Linked DNA regions of Diceros bicornis minor. The protein of the gene in region 3 interacts with the protein of the main gene of each other region in a biochemical or structural test. Links are inferred from orthologs where the notes say so. Each region holds a gene or a part of one and is shown on either strand. Other genes may lie near its edges.

The links.
Region 1: the proteins of RAF1 (region 3) and PEBP1 form a complex in vitro, tested with the Homo sapiens proteins (3 studies listed by BioGRID and IntAct, with this or other methods). The link is inferred for Diceros bicornis minor from reciprocal best matches to the Homo sapiens genes RAF1 and PEBP1.
Region 2: the proteins of RAF1 (region 3) and PEBP4 form a complex in vitro, tested with the Homo sapiens proteins (2 studies listed by BioGRID). The link is inferred for Diceros bicornis minor from reciprocal best matches to the Homo sapiens genes RAF1 and PEBP4.

Annotation. Positions count from the first base shown.
Region 1 is NC_080774.1:15,124,054-15,132,048, reverse strand, and holds the start of PEBP1 (phosphatidylethanolamine-binding protein 1), read right to left. Parts: upstream 3,011-7,995; 5' UTR 2,959-3,010; coding exon 2,824-2,958; intron 1,126-2,823; coding exon 1,016-1,125; intron 308-1,015; coding exon 207-307; intron 1-206.
Region 2 is NC_080750.1:70,978,292-70,986,037, reverse strand, and holds the start of PEBP4 (phosphatidylethanolamine-binding protein 4), read right to left. Parts: upstream 3,011-7,746; coding exon 2,880-3,010; intron 1-2,879. UniProt on the Homo sapiens protein: Promotes AKT phosphorylation, suggesting a possible role in the PI3K-AKT signaling pathway.
Region 3 is NC_080741.1:85,205,931-85,213,680, forward strand, and holds the start of RAF1 (RAF proto-oncogene serine/threonine-protein kinase), read right to left. Parts: upstream 3,044-7,750; 5' UTR 2,711-3,043; intron 1,983-2,710; 5' UTR 1,878-1,982; intron 1-1,877. UniProt on the Homo sapiens protein: Serine/threonine-protein kinase that acts as a regulatory link between the membrane-associated Ras GTPases and the MAPK/ERK cascade, and this critical regulatory link functions as a switch determining cell fate decisions including proliferation, differentiation, apoptosis, survival and oncogenic transformation.

The DNA.
Region 1 (7,995 bases), on a different chromosome or scaffold from region 3:
CTGACACTACCGCAGGTCTCAATGTCTCTGACAGGCAACTGCCTTGGAGGTGAACTGTGCTGCCTGAACTCCGCACTAGGGTAAGGGCTCTCATAAACAAAAGAATAAAGCTCTAAGAGCCAGAATAAAATTTGCAGCGCTTTAGGCCAATCCTGATGTGCACCCAGGCTCCCCTCCCACCTCCTCCAAAAGCAGCCTTTACTAACCTGTGCCCTTGGGAGGCCCAGAGCCCACATAATCAGAAAGGACCGTGCCACTGCTGATGTCATTGCCCTTCATGTTGACCACCAGAAAATGGTGCCATTCCCTGCGAGGAGGAACACAGGATGGTCAATACCATGGGAAATCAGTATGCACTCACTGCAATCAGCAAATGTGTATGCAGCACGTGCTCTGTGCCAGGATGCAGCGATGAATAAGACAGTTCTGCTTTCTTGGGCAGCGCAAACGTCATGTGTCTGCAGAAGAGAAGACCCAACACCTCCCTCCCTCCCTCTGAGACTCTCTAGGGCAGGGGCCTGCAAACTTTTTCTGGAAAGGACCAGACAATAAATGTTTTAGGCTGTGCAGTTCAGACTGTCTCTTTCACAACTACTCAGCTCTGTGGCTGTAGTGTGAAAGCAGCCATAGATAAGACATAAATAAGTTATCATGACTGTGTTTCAATAAAACTTTATTTATGGACACCGAAATTTGAATTTCATGTAATTTTCACAGGTCACAAAGTATTATTCTCCTTTCAGTTTTTTCCCAATCGTTAAAAAATGTAAAAACCATTCTCAGTTCACGAGGCTGTACAAAAACAGGCCTCGGGCAGATCTGGCTCTCGGCTGCAGTTTCTAGACTCTGCTCTAGGAAGTGAAGGGGAGGGAAATGCACACTCTGGCTTAAGCACAGATGTGAACATCCCAAACTGGGTCTACTTCTAGCACAGAACATCCAGTGAGTGACACAGTGCGAGAAGTTCCAGGTCATATGTGAATGACCCGCTGTTCCCCAACTTTCCCCAACTCGCCTGTATTTGGGGTCCTTCCGGCTGGGAGCATCCGGGTCTGTCATGACCAAGGTGTAGAGTTTACCTGGATCAAGGCCATCCCAGGCAATGCTGGTGGGCCGGTTCTTAACCTGCAGGAAGGAACCAGTTTGGAGTTAAAAAGTCAGAAATGCTGAAGAAGCCAACTCTTTCTTTGACCTCAGGTTCCTCAAAGGTAAAACAGAGTAATTTGTTTTTTTTTTTTTTGGTGACGAAGATCAGCCATAGCTAACATCAGATCCCAACCCTCCACTTTTTTTTTTTTGCTGAGAAGATTTGCCCTGGGCTAACATCCGTGCCCATCTTCCTCTACGCCATGTGGGACCCCGCCACAGCACGGCTTGACAAGCCGTGCTTCCGTGCGTACCCAGGATCCAGGCCTGTGAACCCCGGGCTGCCGCAGCAGAGCGCAGGCACTTAAGCGCTTGCGCCACCAGGCCGGCCCCCAGGGTAATTATTAATAAAAGCTAAAGTGTATTGACTCTCCTAAGAGCCAGGAGCTAAAGTCTGACATACGTTATTTATTTTAGTCCCAACAGCACTGTAAGGCTGGTATCCTGGCATGTTATTAACAGAAAGAGGTGGGGTCAGGATCCCGAAGCCGGTGGCGAGCCCTCTCAACTACAACTTTACACTGTCTGGAATGGGAGGGTCTCCAGATTTGGTGACCAGGAGGGTACCCGGGGCCTGTTCAAGTGGAATCTGAATTAATGGGGCTTTTAAAAGTGCACAGGAGATGCGAGAGCCCAGGTGGCCAGGCATGGACAGTGAGTCTGGGAAAAGGAAGGCTGAGAGACGGGCACTTCGCAGTAGTCCCCCCTCATCCGCGGTTTTGCTTTCCTCGGTTTTAGCCACCCCTAGTTAACCGCGTTCTGAAAATACTAAATGGAAAATTCCAGAAATAAATAATTCATAAGTGCGCCCTTCGGAGCCGCGTGATGAAATCTTGTGCCAGCCCGCTCCCCCTGCTGGGGACATGAATCATTCCTTTGTCCAGCGCATCCACACCGTATACGATACCTGCCCCTTAGTTAGGGGAAAAACATACACACAGGGTTCCGTGCCATGCATTCCAAGCACCCATCGGGAATCATGGAACGTACTATTCCCTCCAGGTAAGGGGGGGGCTACTGTATATTTAAACATCCAAAACAATGAACTCTGTCAACAGGCAAAGCAATAAACCATGAGGGCAGTTTATTCACACCGCCGCCCCGGAGCTCCACGACGGTGTCAGGCTCTCTCGCGTCTCCTCTTTGAGCAACCAGGCCCTGGTCTGCTGCCCTGGCCTCAGCCATGGGCGTCAGAGGCCAAAGCGCTGCCCTCGAACCTTCCGGACGCAGAACGCACTTAATCTCTTGACTCTCTCGACCGCCGTACCAAGGGAGGAACCGCTGAGCACCGCTGTTCACCCATTACATAACGCGTCACATGCCCTCGGGTGGCGCTTCTGCGCCGCAAACTGAGGCCTGAAACGCTGACACCGAGCGCAGGCGCCGGGGGCGTGGGGCGGCCACGGCTCCCTTCTTCCCGGGCACGGCCCCCTCCCCGCCCCGCGGGCCCGGCCGTTTCCGGGCCTAGGCCCTGCCCGCGCCTGCGAGTCCCCGAAAGCGGCTCAACCTCCGCCGCAGGCCGAGCCCCGCCCACCACGTGCAGGTTCCCGGGGCTCGGCGGGACCTCAGGCCTGCGGCGCGGGCCCCGCGACGCCCTTCCGTCGGCGGATCGGGCGCACGGAGGCCGGGGCGCCCCTCCCCCCTCCGCCGGGTCCCCGCCCCGCCGGCCTCGGGTACCTGGGTGGGCGTCAGCACTTTGCCCAGCTCGTCGATCTCTGCCCCGGCGTATTTGACCTGCAGCGGGTGCTGCGGCTTCTCGTCCACTTCCTGCAGGCTCAAGGGCCCGGACCACTTGCTGAGGTCCACCGGCATGGCGGGGGCGAGCGGGGCGGGCAGCCGGGAGAGCAGATGGAGACCGGCAGCTCGCACGCAGCTCGCACTCCGAGCGCGCAGAAACTGCCCAGAGGTGGCGCGAGCGCAGCCGCCAGGGGCGCGCACGCGCCCGAGCCGCCGCCCCGCCCCGCCCCTCTCCTCCAATCACCGGCGACGCAGGCAAATTCTGCCCTCTGATTGGTCGAGCTGGCACTTCAGGTTCAGTGCAGCGGGCTTTGCTTTTCTGCTTGCACCGTGGGAAGCGTGAAGCTTCTCGCCGCCGAGTAACCCCGAGCTGTGGCTCCGCGTGCGAGACTGTCGTTGCAAGAAATGCGGTTGAGCTCCCTTTGATTTTTTTTTTAACCTTTTTACATGATTCCTTTCTCCACTTTCTCAATTCAGAAATGGTAAGGCCTTGCTTTTCTCTTGCGCTGCTTAAAACAAGCCCGATTGTCCTCGCCTCCCTGTACTTTCGCGCATGCTCACTAGTTTTGGTAACTGGCCTGGTAAGAGGGCCTGAGCGCAACTTTTGAGCATTTTTCTCAACGGACAAATATATTTGCACATATATTTGATCCCGCTGCCCCCCACTTGGTCCAAACAAGATTCCTGAGAATTTTTTTTTTGAGAACTTATTTTTTTAGAACATAATTATTTCTATTTTGCTGACCAAGTGGCTCTGCCTCTACCAAAACTGCTCTCACTGTGGCCACCCGATGCCTTCTTTTTGCTAAATATAATGGGCAGTATTTAATAGTCCTTATCTGATTTGACTTCAGGACACTGATATCTCCTCCCAGGGAATAGAAAGTTGCGTTTATTTCTTATTAGGAAATAATATAAGTGCCTTGGAGCAAATTCAGAGAAGAAACCCAAAGAAGGAAATAAAAATCGTTTCTATTCCGGTACTTGTGTATAAACATCAGTAACAATTTGGAGTATACCTTTCAAATTTTAAAACTATGAGTATAGATAATTTTGTTCTGTTTCTTCACAAAAAAATTCATTAAACTCTACTATTATAGAATATCTATATCAAAAATAGATCATTATTTTAATGGCTTATTCTACTCTAGATGCACCACAATTACTCAACGAACTTCCTAACGTTGGACATTTATGCTGTTTTGTTGTTTTTCCTTTTACAAATATCACTGAAATGAAGATCCTTATACATATATATTAAACACTTGGTGAATAGTTTTAGGAAAATTTTGTTAGGGGTTTGCTAGGTCAAGCAATGTGTACTTGAAAGGAAGGAATCACAGCTAGTTAAGTGTCTAGTTAAGTCCAGACTGGAAGCAACGACTTCAGTGACTAAGCACTGATAGGATTATTGGTTCTTTCCATCATTTGTTCTATATAAATGCATTTTGAGAACCTTGAAAGCAAAAGGAGAAACAGTCCCTGCCCTCATGGAGCGTAGCAGTGGAGAGAGACATTAATCAAATGCCATTCAACAAACATAAAATTATAAACTGTGATAAGTGCCAGGGAGAGAAGACAGGCCCAGATTGTGGGTGAGCATCTGAATAGGTTCTGCAGCTAATTCCCTGTGTGACCTCAGAAAAGCCACCTGCAGGCACAGCCAGGACGCTGTGAGAAGATAAGTGATGAATGCAAAACCTCTTGGGGAAGATGGAAAGAAATTGCAGATATTTCTGCTCCTGGCTATTCTTGCCCCCTCCCTACCCAACAAGCCAGTGGTCACCAGGCCTATAAACTCAACCTCCTTAGAGCCCTTCCTATGGGTCCACTTCCTCCCCTCATCATAACAACCCTGGTGTCACTCTCCTGGCCTACCGCCTCAAGTCTTCCTCCCTTCTAGCCCATCCTCCTGTCCACGTTCATCTTTCTCAGATGTACATCAGTTCAATCCACACCTCATCCCCCTTTCCCTAAAGCTCTCTGTGGCCCCCCTTTCCCTCAGGATGAAGTCCAGACTCTTAATAGGCCCCTGTAGACTTGTCCCACCTCCTTGCCTCTTCCTCCTTGCATTCTTCGCTCCAAATACTCTGAATTTGTTTCAGTTCCAACTTGTCTTTCTACCCCTGGGCCTTTGCTCATGCTGTTCCCTCCTCCTGGAACACTTTTCCCTCATTACCCTCCCCCTCAAGCCTCACTGTACTCTTGTCCTGGCTCACCTTTACTAATCTTAAACATCACTTCCACCTTCTCCCACCCATCAAGACTAGGGGAAATGCCCTGATCTCTGCATCCACACCCCTTCTGTCCTTTCTCTTTCCTAACATTCAGAGCATTTAGGATTACTCGTTTATCATCGGAACCACACCATCACCCACTTGAATATAAACTCCGTGAGGGTTATCTCTCTTGTTCACTGGTCTTATCCCCAGCACTTAAAATAGTGCCTGACATACTTGGTACATAATATAATCATTATTATTATTATTATAAGAAAATAAGTGAGTTTAAAAAAATCATCTGGTTGGTTTCTGGTTCAGATCACTAAATATTTCTAATAAAATATCACATTCAGAAAAGGCCATTCAACCATAATTCTGGTATCAACAGCACCTCCGTCATGAGCAGCAGTTGGAGAAATCAGCACCTTTCCTCTCACTGTTTATATTAAACAGCTCTCATTAAATGCTCATGAGATAGAGACTAGTGCCACTCCACAAGCCGTGTGTTAACAAAAGACAACTGTTTGGTTCGATGAGATGGTTGCACCTTCATAGAAAATGCTTCTATGCTTCATAGAGTATAGAAAATGCTCAGAAAGAGATTTTTAAAACTTGCTTTAAGCTATTCTCTGGGACTTGAAGCACAGATGCTCACTGGAAGTTTAAGAGATGGGAACTACTCTCTGGAGTGCCTACTGGGTGCAAAGTGCTTAACGTGCTCTAGCTCCCCCCACGGTCCTGCGTGTTATTCTCCTTGCTTTATAGATAAGGTAATGGAGGCTCATGGAGTGATTGGGAGTGACCATCTGCATCTAGAAGCACTTCCACTAAAACAAAGATTGGAACCTACCAAACCATATTAACTGGGCGCCTACTGTGTGCAGGTCATTATGCTCCAATAATGACCACTCCCATTTACCGAGTGCATGCTATATGCAGGTCAGTGCATTCCAATGATGACCATACCATTCACCAAGCACCTACTGTATGTATGCTCCAATGACAACAATTACCATTTACTGAGCACCTACCGTGTGCAGGTCAGAGTGCTCCAGTGAGGATGTCAGCCATTTACTGACTGTTACCACTACCACGTGCCAGGCCCTGACTGAAGGCCTTGACGCCCAGCATTTCATTTCATCCTCATACCAACCCAATGGGGGAGGTACTGCTATCATCCCCGTTCCATAGATAGATAAACCGAGGCTTGGAAAGGTGTAAGTGACAAAGCAGGATGGAAGCAGGCCTGGCTGCAAAGGCCAGACACACAGTTCTCCCACATGCTCTACCTAGGCGTGCTGGGCATAGAGGTGGGGCAGGCGTGATCTCTGCCCTCCAGAGAGCTTTCTCTAGTGAGAGTGTTATACTGTAAGTCACTATGAAGACCCCACATGGCAACCTGAGAATGCAGCTCTTAGATCTCACTGCTGGGAGAGAAATTGGCCAGGCCTCCAGCTGCTGGGCTGTGCTTTGGGGCTAAGGTCATGCCTGGCAGGCTGCCCCCAGCCGGTGATTGAGCTCGGCAGGGACACTAAGGCAAAGCTGGGTGACCCTGGGCTCCTCTGTAGTCAGGACGGGCTTGCCTGCTTTCCTTGGAACCACACCCCAGGCTAAGATGCTTCCCTCTCACCTGCACGTGCCGGATGCTCTCCCAGCCTCTCCCCATTCCCTCCCATTTTGTCTTGCAGCCATTTCCCTAAGAAAGTCCTTGCACATCTAACCCCATCTCGTCATCAGCTTCTCAGACAACCAAGAGTGACACTCCCAAGTTTAAGAGACCGTGTGAGGACTACCTGGAGTGGAAACAAGCAGGGGGTGCTGGGGTGCTGGGCTTGGCCAGTGGGCAGACTGGGTTTGCTGGAATGGGGTGTTTAGGTAGGGGCAAATGGATGACGTAGCAATAAGGCTAAATAAGGCGGAAGGGAGGATCCTTTTATTTTTTTCAACTTATAAAAAGTTTAAAAATTTCTTCAATATACAAATAATCAGCCACATAGCATAATCTCAGGGCACGGGTGTGGGAGTCAGAATGCATTCACATTCCAAATCCATCACCCAGGACCTATGAAATCTTGGGCAGGTGTGGCAGGCAGAAGAATGGCCTCTCAAAGATGTCCACATCCTAATCCCCAGAGTCTGTGAATATATTACATTACACGGCAAAGGGGAATGATGGGTGCAGATGGAATTACGTTTGCTGATCAGCTGACCTTAAAATCAGGAGATTATCCTGGATTACCTGGATGGGCCCAATGTAATCACAAAGATCCTTAAATGGGGAAGAGGAAGGCAGGATTGTCAGAACCAGAGTGATGCAATGTGAGAAGGACTTAACCAGCCATTGCTGGCTTTGAAGATGGAGGACGGGGGCCGTAAGCCAAAGAATGCAGGCAGCCTCTAGAAGCTGGACAAGGCAGGGAAACGGATTCCCTCTAGAGCCTCCATGAGGAATGCAGCCCTGCTGACACCTTGATTTTAGCCCAGTGAAACCCACTCCAGACTTCTGACCTCCAGAACTGCAAGGTAATAAATTTGTGTTGTGTTAAGCCGCTAAGTTTTTGGTCATTTTTTACAGCAGCCATAGGAAACTAACACAGCATATGGCTTAGCCTCTCTAAGCCTCAGTTCCTCCTCTCTAAAATGGGTTTACCAACACCCCTGAAATGATCATTGTGAGGACTAACTGAAACATAGCCTGGCACCTCCAAGTGGGAAGCTATTACTATTACTATATGTTCATTATATAAAAACTCATATATAAGCAAACAAAATTAATTAACCAATTAAGTAAAGACCTTTAGTAATCCTGCCACCCAAAAGTAATGATCATCTTGCTGTATTTCCTCCCAGACTTCCTTCTGTGTATATAAATGTGAATATGCATATATGA
Region 2 (7,746 bases), on a different chromosome or scaffold from region 3:
TGAAAGTGTGGGGCGCCATGCTTAGAAAGAGCAACAGGTCTGTCTCCAACCAACCCTTCCTGAAGGTGAGGCCCAGAGGCCCAGAACCAAGGCCCCCGAGGAGCCATGAAGGATGGAGGTGGATGCCCAGATTAGAAAGAGCTTCAAGCGAAGGTGTGTGTGTGTGGGGGGGTGACATCTGTCTTCAAACATTTGAACAACCATCAAGAGGAAGAGAAACTAGACTTGTTCTATGCAGCACCTGGGGCAAAACTAGGAAGAAAGGGGTGAGTTAAAGAAAGTCAGCCTCTGCCTTGAGACAAGGAGGCCCTCGCTGGAGGATGAGCTTGTCAGCACAAAGGACAGGGCTTGGGGGCGCAGCTCCTGGTCACCAGGAGAGGCCACCAGGGCCCTTGTGCAGGGCAGCAGGGAGAGGGTTGCTGAGTGGATTCACTCCTTGGCTTCAGGTTGGACGACTGTGGTTCTCTTGATTCTGATCTTGAGCCAGGGGTTCTGACTCTCAGTGCTGTTGTCAGTCTAGTCTGGCTTCTCTCAGGAGTAGGTGAGGTATTATTCTGGAAGAGCTTTTCTCTCAACAATATTTCCCACTGCTTGTCACTGTACATAAAATTTCTCCTTTATGGATTAACATTTTTAGGCATTGAGTCCTAACTACAAGAATTCTCTATTAGACTTTAAATGCCCATGAGAGGAGTGGCTTCTCTGGGGGTTCTCTTGGCAAGGTCAGAAGCCTGAGCTGAGCAGGGATCCTGGGGAGGGACCCAGTGCAGGGGGTACTGATCTCTCCTTGGGGGTCTGATATGTCCATGAGGTGTTCTCATTCAGTGATGGTCTTTTACAAACAAAAATCTTCAGCAGTAATAAAGACAAAGCTTCCCTTTTGCAATGATGGTTTACAATCAAAAGACATTGTCCTAGCATACAACCCTAGTGTTGTAAGTCCATGCTTCTCAAACTGGGGGGTCTAGGTGTAATCTATGGAGTCCTGAGAATGGCTCCTGCAATGGACTAAATGTTTGTGTCCCCCAAAAGTCATATGTTGAAATCCTAGCCCCAGTGTGCTGGGATTAGGAGGTGGGGCCACTGGGAGGTGCCTAGGTCATGAGGGTGGAGCCCTCATGACTGGGATTACTGTGCTTAAAAGAGTCCCCAGAGAGCTCTCTCACCCCTTCCACTGTGTGAGGACACGGCGAGAAGACAGCCATCTATGAACCAGGAAGGTTCTATGGCAGGTTCTCACCAGCCACAGAATCTGGCGGCACCTTGATCTTGGACTTCCCAACCTCCAGAGCTGTGAGAGATAAATGTCTATGGTTTGTAAGCCCCCTGTCTATGGTATTTTGTGATAGCAGCCAGAATGGACTAACACAGCCCCCCTTTACCGGAGTTTGAGAAGCTCCAGGCCCTGGAGGAGGGTCGGCAGCTGGAGGTGGGTGGGGGAAGAGCGTGAGTGTAGCGCCAGACAAGGGGGGTTGAATGCCCCTCTGCCTCTTGTCAGCTGTGTAAGCACCGTGGGTAGCTGCAAGATGGGGATGAGAAGACCTGTTTGGTGGGTTCCTGATAACAATGGAATAAGTCCAGGAGTCTAAAGCATGTAACAGGTGCCCAGAGCTCCCACGTGTGCCACGGAGACAGGCCACCAGGGCGCCAGCATGTGGACCTCCGCAGGGCAGAGCCAAGGGCAGCTGGGCCCAGGTCACCTCCAGTGACCATACACAGAGGATCATTTTCTGTGTGTCCCACAGTGAACATGGGAAGCGCAGAGGGCCCCCATAAGGGGCCCTTCTCGTGGCCTGCCCCTGCCTTGCCCTGGCCCAGCTGACCTCTCAGCTCGTGGGGCTTGACCTTCTACCACCAGAGTAAAAAGCCGTCCTGAGCCCGGAAGGTTCCACTCAGCAGAGCACCTGGAGGACGGGCGCCCACATGAGAGACGCAGCCGCGTTCCCTCCTGCGCCCACACAAACCTCACTCAGAACTGTTCGCTAGAGTTTTAAAAACGTAGTGATAGAAGCAAAACTTATTTTATTTTATTTTTTGGATTCAACTACCTAACTTTTTAAGGGAAAGCGTTTATTTATCTTTCTGAAAGTAGTGTCTGTAGCACTCAAATATACGCAAGAAGACGGAGTAAGACGTGCGAGTTCTTCCTCCCCTCACTTCCGATGGCTTCAGCGGGATGCGGCCACCTTGGTCACCAGACTGGCAGAGGGGGTTGGCAGCAAAGTGGCCTGGGCAGCTCTCAGGATGACCCACGAGGCCAGGACAATTAGGACTGGCCTTTCTAACCAACAGTCATGAGGAGGGGGTTGGACCTCGATGCAGAGGGGGAGAAGCTCGTGCCCTGAGGAGGGAAGAGGCCAGCCTCCGAACCCAGCTTCTGCTCTGGACAACGTCCAGTGACCTCACTCCCTAAAAGGCCTGCCTGTCCCGACACTTCCGGGGCCTCATTACCCAAAAGCAAACCAGCACCTCTCACCCACGGAGGGTCCAATCACACTCCCTCTGTCAACTGCCACATTTCTTTACAACGGCCACTTTGTTGGGGGGAAGGGAGCATTCCGGGCTGTAGGGAGGGATGGTCTCTCTTGGGGTCCCAGCAGGGAGGGTGAGGCCAGCACCACAGGGCCCTCAAGTTTGGAGGCCCCGGGGGAGCCTCCTGATCTTGGGAGAACTGCCTATGGAAGGCAGGAGCCCGTCTCAAAGTCCTTCCCCCAATGCCGTCCTCCATCAAGGTGGTCTCCAGAGCTGCCTTCTTTTCTGCCTGTCCACAAAGGCTGCCTTAGGAGACAGTGCTCCTTGGTTCTGGAAACACCCCTCCCTGAGACCTCTTCTCTGGTTTCCACCCACCCGGTTGCTGTGTGGGGTCCTGCCAGCCTTACTTGCAGAGGACAGCATCATTGTCAGACAGGGCCTCGTAGACGCACGGGTCGTTTTCCTCCTCGTCTTCTGTCACCACCATCGTAAGACCCAGAAGCAGGGCTGCCATGGCCAGGCTCATTTTCCAGCCCATGGGCACCTGGAACAGAAGGAACCTTCAGAGCTGACGGGCCCTCTGCTGGGGTACACTTTCCATCCCTCACACCCCACCCCAGGGGCCCACCTGGTGGGACAGAGACCTCCGATAAGCAGAGAGAGAAGGGCGGGCAGCTGCCTGGGCTCCGGCAGCTAATCTGCCACCCGGACACAAGCACCTTGGGAGGACCTGGGCCTACTCCAAGCTGGACTCGATTTGCAGTCCTGGCTGAGGCCCCTCCTCCGTCAGAGCAGGGCTTTGCTGTCACTCTAGTCCTGGTTGCCAGGGCAAAGAGCAGGCTGCAAACAGAGGTGCTTATGTAACCTCTCGGCACTGCTGTGTGCCCTGCACCCCCACGCTCCCTCCCCCTGAGGTCAGCTGGCTGAGGGCCAGCCTGCTCCTTTGGCTTTGAGGCCTGGGAAGCTGATGACCCCAGGCTTTAGGCTGGGGGCAGGTTCTGGGGGTGCTTGTGAGAGCCTGACCTTAGTTGTTTTTCTAGAAGTAGGGGTTTGGCTGGCCATGCCCCTTGGACAACTCTGCTTCTCCCACCCACAGTTCCTCCGCCACCTGCCATGACAGCCTCGGGGCTGTCCGGTGGGTGGTGGGTGTGGTTGGACATAGAGACTCGTGTAGGAGGGACTGCTGCACGTAGGGAGGGCCACCCGGGCCCCCAGGGCCGCTCTGGAGGGCCGGCTGAGGACAGAAGGATGCTGCGGACTGCACCTCGCAGCAGTGCTGAACTCAGCACTCTCCCAAAATACTAGTCTCTGGAGGAGCCGGCTGGCAGAGCTGCCGGGGCAGGGGTAGCTGGGGGCAGGGGTAGCTGGCACCAGCGCTGTGCCGTGCCGGAAGGAGGGGTGGCCTGGGGCTGAGCTGCAGTGAGCCTGCAGCAGGGACTCAGAGCACAAGCATTCCCTGGGGGAACAGGCCTGCAGGAGGGTGTGTGTGGGACTCTGGCTGGAAGCCAAGCGGCAGGGGAAGACCAAAGGCAGGTCTCCCACAGCCTTTCCACTTGATCCGCTCTCTGTGCTCTCTGAAATGGTGTGTGTCGGAGGCTGCTCTGAGCTCCACCAGGCTGCGGGGGGGGGGGGGGGGGGGGGGCGGCACTCTGCCTTGCTAGGATGCACCACTTCTCCCTCCAAAAACAGGTGAAGCGACCCATCGCCCTGTGCCTTGCTCAGGAAGATGAGATCTGAGACCCTTGCTATAGAGGGTCTGTGGCTAGATCTTTAGAGAAACGACAGTCAGCATAGCTTGCTTTCCAGTTGAATTCCTGCTTCCAGGATCCCAACTTCCAGGAAAAAGCCCTTCTTTTGGGCTACCAATTAAATGCATTTCTCAATAATTGGTCTCCGTGAAGTATGACCAGGGTCCCCCACAGAGAACACACTCCCGAGATATCTCCTATGGAAAGTGTCTCCTAGCAGCCTCCTCACAAGACGGTGGTGAGAGGGAAACGGAATGAGTTATGTGAGGCACTTAGTAGGTGCCTGCACAGAAGGAGTGCTCACTAATTCATGGAGAGTGTGAGTATCCTTCCACAGATCCACCTGTTCATGCGTTCATTCATTCAAAATCCATTTTTCCAAAGGGTATGGAGCACCCCCCATGTGTGCCAGCCCTGAGCCAGCCCTGGGGTATAGGGTGAGCATGGTCCCTGTCTTCGTGGAGCTCATGGGACAGCCAGAGCCAGAGGACAATGCTGCCAGAATGGTCATCCAAGGCCAAGAGACTCTTGTCTTCAAAGTGGCAGCCACTAGAGAAGCCAGAACTTTCCTGGGTGCCAACAGCCCTTAGCACCCACAATGAATGGCTGTCTGGAGGTGGGGGAGAGTCCAGGCTTGCTCCTGTTCAGCCCGCTCATGTCAGCAATTCCTCCTTACTCAGTTTGCACCAGGCTTTTATCATTGAATTCGCGTGACGATCCCCTGAAATAGGCACCATTATTATCCCATTTTACAGAGGGGGAGACTGAGGCACAGGGAGGTTAGCTAACCTGGACCTTGGTCACAAGTAAGTGGCAGACCTGAGATTTGAACCCAGGCTGTCCGGCTCCATGCTGTTAACCACTCTGCTCTACTGTCCTCTCTTGTGGCTCTCCTCTGCCCCCACTTGCTTCCCCTCTATTCCCTTTGTTCTTGGAATAAAGCCCGGAATGCCCCACCCACCCCCACATCTGGTTCTTCCTGCCTCTCTAGCCCAGTCTCTCTATTCTCCACCACTCCCGCTGTTAGCTGTTAGCTCCAGCTAGTCCTTCAGGCTCCTTCCTGCCCCAGGGCCCACCACCTTGCTGGATAGCTGAAGTGTCATTTCCTCAGAGAAACTTGCTCTGACCCCCAGGCTCCATCAGATCCCTGTTATACACAGTCAGAGCACTTTACTCCTTTCCTCCCTGTTCCTGCATGTTTGTAATGAATACTTCTGCAGTTATTTACTTAGTGCTTTGTTTATAGTCCCCACTCGGCCTGCCCTCCCCCCAGCCTACAAGCTTCTTGGAGGCAGCACCGAGTCTGCGTCTAGCATTCCAAGTGCAGCCCCTGGTGTGTCTAGATGCTTAATGAATGCTTGTTTGAATGCCCAACAAACTTAGCACTTCTATTTCTGATAGTCCTTATCTTCACTTACCAGCTCCTAACTCTGTAAACATCAGTAGGAAACTAACCACTCAGGCTGGCCCCAGGCCCTGGATCCCTTTTGCTTATTTATCTAACCTTCTCTGGCTTGTTTTGGTACAGAGAGATCCGACAGAATGCAGAGGTGCTTGGAATTTTCGAACCTGCTCTTTCTCTTGGGGATTTGTAGGATTTTGCTTCATACTCGATGTTCAAGATCTGGGACCCACGTTCAAGCCAGGGGGAAAAGCTCCCCATCCCCATCGCCACCCTGTTTTGCTCAGTTGTCTCACTCCTGGAAGCTCCCATCTCTAGATCTCTCAGTGCCCGCCCCTGAAGCCCCCTTCTCTTCCTTCAGTCACCTGGGCTGGGACTACCTCCCAACACCATCAATCAAGCCAAGCCTGTTGGCTTCCTGAGATGCCTCGGCCCCTCCACCCTCTGGGACCTGCTGGACCAGTGCTCCTGGAACTCTTGACCCCCATCCCTCCAGGCCTCCTATGCCTGACACCACCCGGCCCTTCACTGCCCAGGTGTCACCTCCTTCCTCCATCCAGACACAGACTCTCTCGCTTTTCCTCCCTCCTAATCCTTTCCACCTATGCCCTCTGGAATCTCTGAACTGCAGGGAATAAGTCCCCCCTCATTCTCTTTCTTTCATTCTGCATTTAAAAAATTAATTGAGTTATAATTCAATACCGTAAAATTTACCGTTTTAATGTGTACAATTCAGTGTTTTTAGTACAAAAGTCACTCAAGATTGTGTCACCATCATCACTGTCTAATTCCGGAGCATCTTCATCACCCAAAATAGGCTCCAAAGAACTCATTAGCAGTTATTCTTCACTCCTTCCTCCCCCAGGCCCTGGGAACCACTAATCTACTTTCTGTTTCCACGGATTTGCCGATTCTGAACATTTCATATAAATGGAATCGTACTGTCTGTGGCCTTTTGTGCCTGGCTTCTTTCACTTAGCATAATGTTTTCAAAGTTCATCCACATTGTAGCATGTATCAGTACTTCTTTCCTTTTTTTTTGCCAAATGTATTTCACAAAACTTAAGTAGAAAAAAAACATAGCTTGTATATTTATCCACTTATTTGCCATTTATAGTGCCGTGCGATCTTTCTGATAGAGGCAAGTTTCCCACTAATATCAATTTTTTCTGCAGCCTTGTAGTTTTTTTTTTTTTTTTTTTTAGCAAATCTTGTAGTGCAGGCTTCATTCTTCTTGTGGCTGAATAATATTCCATTGTATGGATAAACCACATTTTGTTTACCCATTCATCAGTTGATGAATATTTGGGTTATTTCCACTTTTTGGCCGTTATGAATAAAGCTGTTATATACACTTGTGTACAAGTTTTTGTGTGAACGTGTATTTTCAATTCTCTTCAGTATATGCCCAGGAGTAGAATTGTTGGGTAATTGTATAGTAATCCCATGTGTAACATTTGAGGAAATGCCAGTCTGTTTTCCAAAGCGGCTGTTTCATTTCACATTCCTACCAGCAATGAGGGCTCCAATTTCTCCACATCCTCGCCAGCACTTGTTATTGTCTTTTTTATTATGGCCATCCTAGGGAGATAAAATGGTATCTCATTGTGGTTTTGACTTGCATTTCCCTAATGACTAATGATGTAGAACCTGTTTTCATGAAGTTTTTGGCTATTGTATATCTTCTAACTTTAGAGAAATGTCTATTCAAATCCTTTGACCATTTTAAAATTAGATTGTATTTTTATTGTTCAGTTATAACAGTTCTTTGTGTATTCTCGATATTAGACACTGTTATATTGTGATTTAATTAAGAAATATATATATTTGGTCTTTGTCTTGTTTCTGGCACCGAGCTCCTAAAACCCTTGGAATTTCCTAAATGAAAGAGCAATAAATGTGTCTTGATATTCATAACAAACCCCTTCAACCACACCTAAGTTTATGTGAATGAGGTGACTTTTGGAAAACACTAGGGAGGGGGGCTGGTTGCTAAGGGAACCAACCATGTGATTGGAGGGTTGGAATTTTCAGTCCTCCCCCCACACCTTTAGAGGGAGAGGGGCTGCAGGTTCTATCAATTGCCAGTGGCCAATGATTTAATCAATCATGCCTACGTAGTGA
Region 3 (7,750 bases):
ATGTTCTTAACTGAAAAAATAAGCAAGTGGGACTTTATCAGATTAAAGAGCTTCTACAAGACAAATAAAACCAGAATCAAGATGAATAGACAACCCACCAGCTGGGAGAAAATATTTGCAAAACATATATCTGACAAGGGGTTAATCTCCATAATAGATAAAGAACTCACACAACTGAACAACAAAAAAACAAACAATCCAATCAAAAAATGGGCAGAGGGGGCCGGCCCCATGGCTTAGCGGTTAAGTGCTCACGCTCCGCTACTGGCGGCCAGGGTTCGCATCCCAGGCGCGCACCGACGCATCGCTTGTCCGGCCATGCTGAGGCCGTGTCCCACATACAGCAACTAAAAGGATGTGCTACTATGACATACAACTGTCTACTGGGGCTTTGGGGAGAAAAATGGAAAAAAAAAAAAAAGGGAGGAGGATTGGCAATAGATGTTAGCTCAGGGCTGGTCTTCCTCAGCAAAAAGAGGAGGATTAGCATGGATGTTAGCTCAGGGCTGATCTTCCTCACAAAAATAAATAAATAAATGGGCAGAGGAAATGAACAGACACTTCTCCAAAGAAGATATACAGATGGCCAATAGGCACATGAAAAGATGGTCAACATCACTAATCATCAGGGAAATGCAAATCAAAACCACACTAAGATATCACCTCACGCCCGTCAGAATGGCTATAATCACCAAGACAAAAAACAACAGATGTTGGAGAGGCTGTGGAGAAACAGGAACCCTCATACACAGCTGGTGGGAATGCAAACTGGTGCAGCCTCTATGGAAAACGGTATGGAGATTTCTCAAAAAATTAAAAATAGAAATACCCTATGATCCAGCTATCCCACTACTGGGAATCTATCCAACGAACCCGAAATCAACAATCCAAAGAGGCTTATGCACCCCTATGTTCCTTGCAGCATTATTCACTATAGCCAAGAAGTGGAAGCAACCCAAGTGTCCCTCAACTGATGAATGGATAAAGAAGATGTGGTATATATATACAATGGAATACTACTCAGCCATAAAAAAAGACAAAATCGTCCCATTTGCAACAACATGGATGGACCTGGAGGGTATTACATTAAGTGAAAAAGGCCAGAAAGAGAAAGACAAACACTGTATGATCTCACTCATATGTGGAATTTAAACCAACACACGGACAGAAAAACTGTATTGTGGTTACCAGGGGCAATGGGGGTAGGAGGTGGGCACAAGGGGTGAAGGGCGACATATATACGGTGATGGACAAACAAAAATGTACAGCCCAAAATTTCACAATGTTAAAAACTATTAAAACATCAATAAAAAAAATGTTCTTAACTGGGTTTAACAAAGTAAATCTTTTCAATTACTATCAGCTTCAACATCATCAAGAGAAGGGGGAAATTAATTATCAGCATGAAAAAAGAATTAGCAACATTCATTTAAAATAATCCAAATTAAATCAACTAGTTCACTATCGTCGACAAAGATTCTTCACGATCTAGTCAACTTTTCCTTTAGACCCTCATCTCTCACCACTTCCTCCCTGCACCCCGGATTATTTGCTGCTCCTCAAACTCATCCCAACTCCTGCACATCTCTATGCCTTTGTACCAGCTGTTCCCTCAGCTTAGAATGCTCTCCCCTCCTCCTCACCTGGAGAGTAATTACTCATCACTCCAAAACTCAGCACAAAAGTCCCCTCCAGTGGACAAGCTTCCTCAACTCCCCCAGGCAAAGCCAGTTCCAAGTTCCCACAACCTTATCCTTATCACAGAGCATTGTTTTCACGCCTCGGAAGAGAATGGAGAGCAGACTCCCTCCACTCAGCCCACAGAGGACAAGGCAGGCAGAAATACTCAATGAACGTGCGCTGAATTCATTCCCTACCTAGATTAAGTAATCCTCGAGAACCCAGTCACATCCCAAGGAAACACGGGAGATCCTATCATTCTTCCCACCAAAGAATGAATACCAGAGGGCACACGCAGAGCCCTGGAAAGAGAACAATGAATGAACACAACAGCTTCGCCTCTCACGATGTCCAAACTCTTCTCGGGGCATCGACCGGCTCTGCAGAGCGTCTGCAGCTGCAGAACTGAAGCGTCCTGGTGGCTCTCACTTCACACAAAAGACAGCCCTGGATCGTCATTCCAAAGCATCCCGGGGCCACTCGTCAGTAAAAGCATCCCAAACCTTTCATTAGTAACCCACAGAGGCCTGAAACCCCAGGCGAGGCCCCTATGCCTTTGTGGTGGGGCACTGTACCCATTTCCTCTTCTCGTGCCCGACTCCTCTCGTCTTTCCTAAAAGGGTGTCACTTGAGTGACGGACACCGAGAGAAGATGCAAGCCCGGGTTCCCCACTCCGCGGCCAGAAAGAAAAGGAATTAGCCCATCTGAGTGACAACACAGAAACGGGGCAGCTCCAGGGGGATTTTCGCATTGTCAAATATGAGGAACGTGCACCGGGTACAGGGGTGGCGCTGGCACGTTTCCCCGAAGCACAAGGAAATCTGAGTGGGGATGTGGGAACTCCGCTCGCCGGCCATGACACCGGGCCCCGAGCCCCCGTCCGCCCAGCGCCACCTGGGGTGACAGCGGCCTGGCCCGGGCCCGGCGCCCGGCAGCCGCGGGGCTGCTCCGTCAGCGCCGCCCGGGAACCAACCCCTCAGCCCCGCCGCCCGGCTCCCCCGGCATCCAGAGCCCGGCCCTGGCGCCTACCTGAGGGAGCCGGGCCGCCTCCGTGTCCCGTCGTCCGGCTGCGGCGTCTGGTCCGCTCCTCCTCCCCGCGGCGGGTGAGGGAGCGGGAGGCGGTCACATTCGGCGCGTCCCCAGCCCAGGGGACGGGGCCCCAGGCAGCCCTCGCATCGTTGCACTCGGGCTCCGCACCTCAGGGCACACGCCCCAAGCCCAGCCAGCTGGCCCTCTTCGGGGCCCAAGAAGAGCGGCAGGGGAGCCTCCCCGTCTCACTCTCGCTCTCCTCTTACTCCCGCCATCTAAGATGGCGGCCCAGCGCCCGCGAAGAAGAGACTCTCCAGCGGCCCAGGCAAACGAGCCCTCCACTCGGTGCTCCTCCTCCCGACCTGCGGCGCCACTGGCTCTTTGCTTCTGCGCGAGCCCGCCTGGCAACCGACTTCAAACTTGGCTCGGGCATCCATCGCTCTGGCCTGAACTCAAGCCCCGCCTCGCGTGGAAAGGCGTGGCCTCGCGAGGTTGCCGGCCGCCATTTTGGAGTTGTGGAGGCTGCAGGGCGGGTGCTGACTGGCTCCCGGACAGGCGGTGGGGAATCGAGAGAAGGTTGGCTTTTAGCCACCCGGAAGGGGCTTGAGGCCTCAAGGGGGAACGAAGGCCAGCCTGCCCGCATCAAGGCCTAGGGATAACCAGACATACGCGAGGAGGCACAGCATAGAGAACAGTGTCCAGCTTTGGCGCGTCCTCTCCGGAGTCGGACACGCTCCGCTACTTACCGGTTATGTAGGAAAGTGTCTAAACTTTACTGAGCCTCAGTTTCCTCATCTGTAAATTGGGGGTTCCTTTTCCCCCATCAGATTGGCAAAAAGTTAAAAAGACTGGTAATATCAAGTCTGGTGCTAGGTATATGAAAACCTGTTGTGTACGGTCATTCAGCGCTGGCAGGAATGGATATCGGGAGGGCAATTTGGCGTTATCTGTTGACATTTTTAATGTATATACCCTTCCGTCCAGCAATTCCACTTGTAGGCACTAATTCTAGGTAAATGTGTACACATACCCACAATAAGACGTGCTGAGGTGTTTATTGCCATATTATTTGCATTAGAGATACACTGCGAAAAATGCGGATTAAGTAGGAAACTGGGTAAATAAACGGTGCTACCTCCACAATAGAGGATATCATCTGTTAAAAAGAATGAGCTAGATCTTTGTACTGATGTTTAAACATCCAAGACATTAAATTTTTTTAAAAAGTAGAACATGTTGGGGCCGGCCCGGTGGCGCAAGCGGTTAAGTGTACGGGCTCTGCTGCGACGGCCCGGGGTTCGCCGGTTCGGATCCCGGGCGCACACTGACGTACCGCTTGTCAGGCCATGCTGTGGCGGCGTCCCATATAAAGTGGAGGAAGATGGGCACGGATGTTAGCCCAGGGCCAGTCTTCCTCAGCAAAAAAAGAGGAGGATTGGCAGATGTTAGCACAGGGCTGATCTCCTCACAAAAAAAAACAAAAAACAAAAAAGTAGAACATGTACAGTATGATTTTATTTACTTGAACACAGGCATGCAAGATTACCCAATACCGTGGGCACCATTCTTTCGTTTAAATTTTCGAGAGCCTATTATGTACCACACATTGTTCTGTGTATTGGGAAATCAATAATCATCAAAAGCCCTGCCTTCTAGTGATGAGAGACCGAAAGACAGCATAAATAATAAATTCAGGTAGTAATATGAGCAGTATAAAGAAAAATGAAGATGAAGCAAGATAAGATGACAGGGGCATGTAGACCAACATGAAGATAAATTCAGGGGAAAGACTGGAAGACATTGAATATGGAGGGACCATGAGGGGATTTTCTTTTTAATAGGAATAATAACAATAACACCTACCTCACAGGATTAAATGAGAGAAAACATGGAAAGCACTTAGCACAGAGCCTGGGAATTGAGACTTGAGTACCTGGAGCCTGACTGCGTAGGTTCAAATTCGGACTCGGTCACTTCCTCCTCTGCCACTTAGACAAGTCATTTAACACTCAGTTCCTCATCTGTAATGAAAACCGGATAGTTACCCACCTCTTAGAGTTGTAAGGATTTGGTGAGTTTAAGATGTAAAGCACTTGGAACAGTGCCTCTCATATTAAACATTATAGAAGTGTTAGCTGTAATTATTATAGCTGTCTCTTATCATATCATTACTACTTAGGGCAGAGCAGCAAAGCCACACTTGCTGACCCCCAGGCCACTCCTTCCTTCAGTCGCCCCCAGCTGGTATTTGCCCAGCACTTCACAGCTTAGAAAGCTTAAGGAGGGGCTGCCCTGTGGCTTAGCGGTTAAGTGCATGCGCTCTGCTACTGGCGGCCCGGGTTCAGATCCCGGGTGCGCACCGACGCACTGCTTGTCCCGCTGAGGCGGAGTCCCCCATACAGCAACTAGAAGGATGTGCAACTATGACATACAACTATCTACTGGGGCTTTGGGGAGAAAAAGGGAAAAAAGAAGGAGGATTGGCAGTGGATGTTAGCTCAGGCTGATCTTCCTCAGCAAAAAAAGAGGAAGATTGGCATAGATGTTAGCTCAGGGCTGATCTTCCTCACAAAAAAAAAAAAATGTTGCATAAAAAAAAAGAAAGCTTAAGGAGTCTGTGCCTTATTCAAACCTCAGCTCACCAGTACGAGTGACTAATTCATTTTTTCAAAATAATTTATTGAGGCAAAATTCACATAACATGAAATTGAGGCAAAATTCACATAACATGAAATTAACCATTTTAAAGTGATCAATTCAGTAGCATTTAGCATGTTCACAATGTTGTGGAACCACCACCTCTGGTTCCAAAACATTTCCATCACTCCAAAGTAAAATCCGTTACCCATTAAGCAGTTTCTCTGCATCCAATCCCCACCCAGCCCCTGGCAACCACCAATATGTGTTCTATCACTATGGATTTATCTCTTCTGGATATTTCGTATAAATGGAATCACGCGATATGTGACCTTTTGTGTCTGGCTTCTTTCACTTAACAAATGTTTTCAAGGTTCATCCATGTGATTGCATGTATTAGTACTTCATTCCTTGTTATGGCTGAATATATAAGTATATACCACAATTTGTTTATTCACTTGTGGATGGACATTTGGGCTGCTTCCATCTTTTGGCTATTATCCGTAGTGCTGCTATGAGCATGCAGGTACATGTACTAGTTTGAGTACCTATTTTCAGTTATTTCAGGCATATACCCAGGAGTGGAATTGCAGGAATCATCTTGTACTCCACTGGGTTGCATGTCCTGTACTTTGGAGACCTCTGGTTTGGTGGTAGGCTCTCCTACTCGTAAGAGCTAGAGTTATTAGGGAAGGTCTCAGAAGAGGAACAGGGAAAAGAAATGATCAGAAATGGCTTGAAGGGACAATGGACATGCCATGATCTCAGATCAAACAGAGGAGGGGAAGAATGGGAGGTGTCATTGGTAGAGGGAGGGGATGGGGGAGGCTAACGTGGAAACTTTCCTGGGTGTTAGAATGTGCTACTTCTTAATTTGGGAAGTGGTTACATGGGTATGTGTATGGCTATATATATACGCACACACATATATATGTAAAAATTGGTGTGTGTACTTTTCTGCACATTTGTTATATCTCAAAAAATTATTTTGAAACATGGACCATAGGTCTTTAAGCCAGGCCAAAAAAGGTACGTGTTTCAGATGAAGGAAAGAAGAACTGCACAAAAAATACCTGTCATTTATGAAGGCTCTTCATGTAATCAGGCATTTTACACAATCTCCAATACACAATCATCACGACTTGAAAGTCCTGATCTTCAAATGGGGAACCTTTAAGAGAGGGTAATTAATCTAAGGACAAAGCTGGGAAGTGGTGGAGCAGGGATCTGGACCTGTTTGTTTGTTCATTCCTTATTCAGTTGATGAAGATTTCTGTTGTGCTGAATATGTGCCAGGCCCTGTGTTAGCCCTGGGCCCGTAGCCGTGACCAAGCCCAAGTGTCTGCCCTCAAGGACTTTAAGGTCTAGCAGGGGAGACAAACAGCAAACAAGTAAACCAATACATCAACATGAAAATTAGGATTGTGGTAAATCAGTGCAGAAAAGGACTAGAGAATGATAGACTGGGAAGGGAAGGGGTGCGCCTTTAGACTCAGTAGCCAAGGCCTCTCTGAGGAGGTGATAGTTAAGCTGGGCACTGAAGGATGAGAAAGAGCCAGGAGAAGAGCATTCTAGGCAGTTGGAACAGACATTTTCTCCTTGATAGACCCAACCCCTCCTCTCTCTGCACAGAGGAGTAGGCATGGGCTCTGAAGTCAGACAAATAGGAGATCAAACCCCCGCCCTGCCCTCACCGCTGTGATTCTTGGCCTCTCCCTCAGGTGATGTAGGAGCAGGAATATTTGCCTTCAGGGGTTGTTGGGAGGAAATGAAACGGGAAAGTACAGGCCCTGGCATGCAATAGGTGCTCAGGGAGCTGCTCCTCACCCTCTCCCTCTCCAGCACCTCTCCCAGACTTACTGCTTTCTGCCCTAAAAGGGCAAGTCAGCCAGGTCTTGAAGAAGAAAATCACCAGCACATTCAAATGTCCCTTTCCCTCTTCCAGTTACCCCCCTAATTTTTTGTTCTCTTTTGGGGCCAAATTTATCCCAAAATGGTCTAGACCCAGGCTCGATTTTCTCACCCATCCCTCCACTAAGCCCCAGCAGTCTGCCTTCTGCAGCCACCGCCAGAATGCTTCTCCTTCTCACCAAAACGTCCCTCCAGGAGGGCTTCCCAAGCTTGGCCTCAGTGTCCTTTATGACATTTGGTCAAGGGCATCCCCGTCCAGTGGAAGTCCTGCCTCTGCGGTTCTCTCCTGTTTCACTGGCCTGACTCCTCCTGTCCCAGGAACCACGCCTGTTCTCCTCTCAGGCCTACCTGGCAAAGCAGCTCATGCTATTCTCTCTGCTGGAAATGCTCTTCCCTACTTTCAGTCCCAGCTCAAGGGCCACACCTGCATGGAGCCTCCTCTGGCAGCTGCGACCTGCAGTGTTCTGCCCTTTCTCTGAATTTTCGTGCATC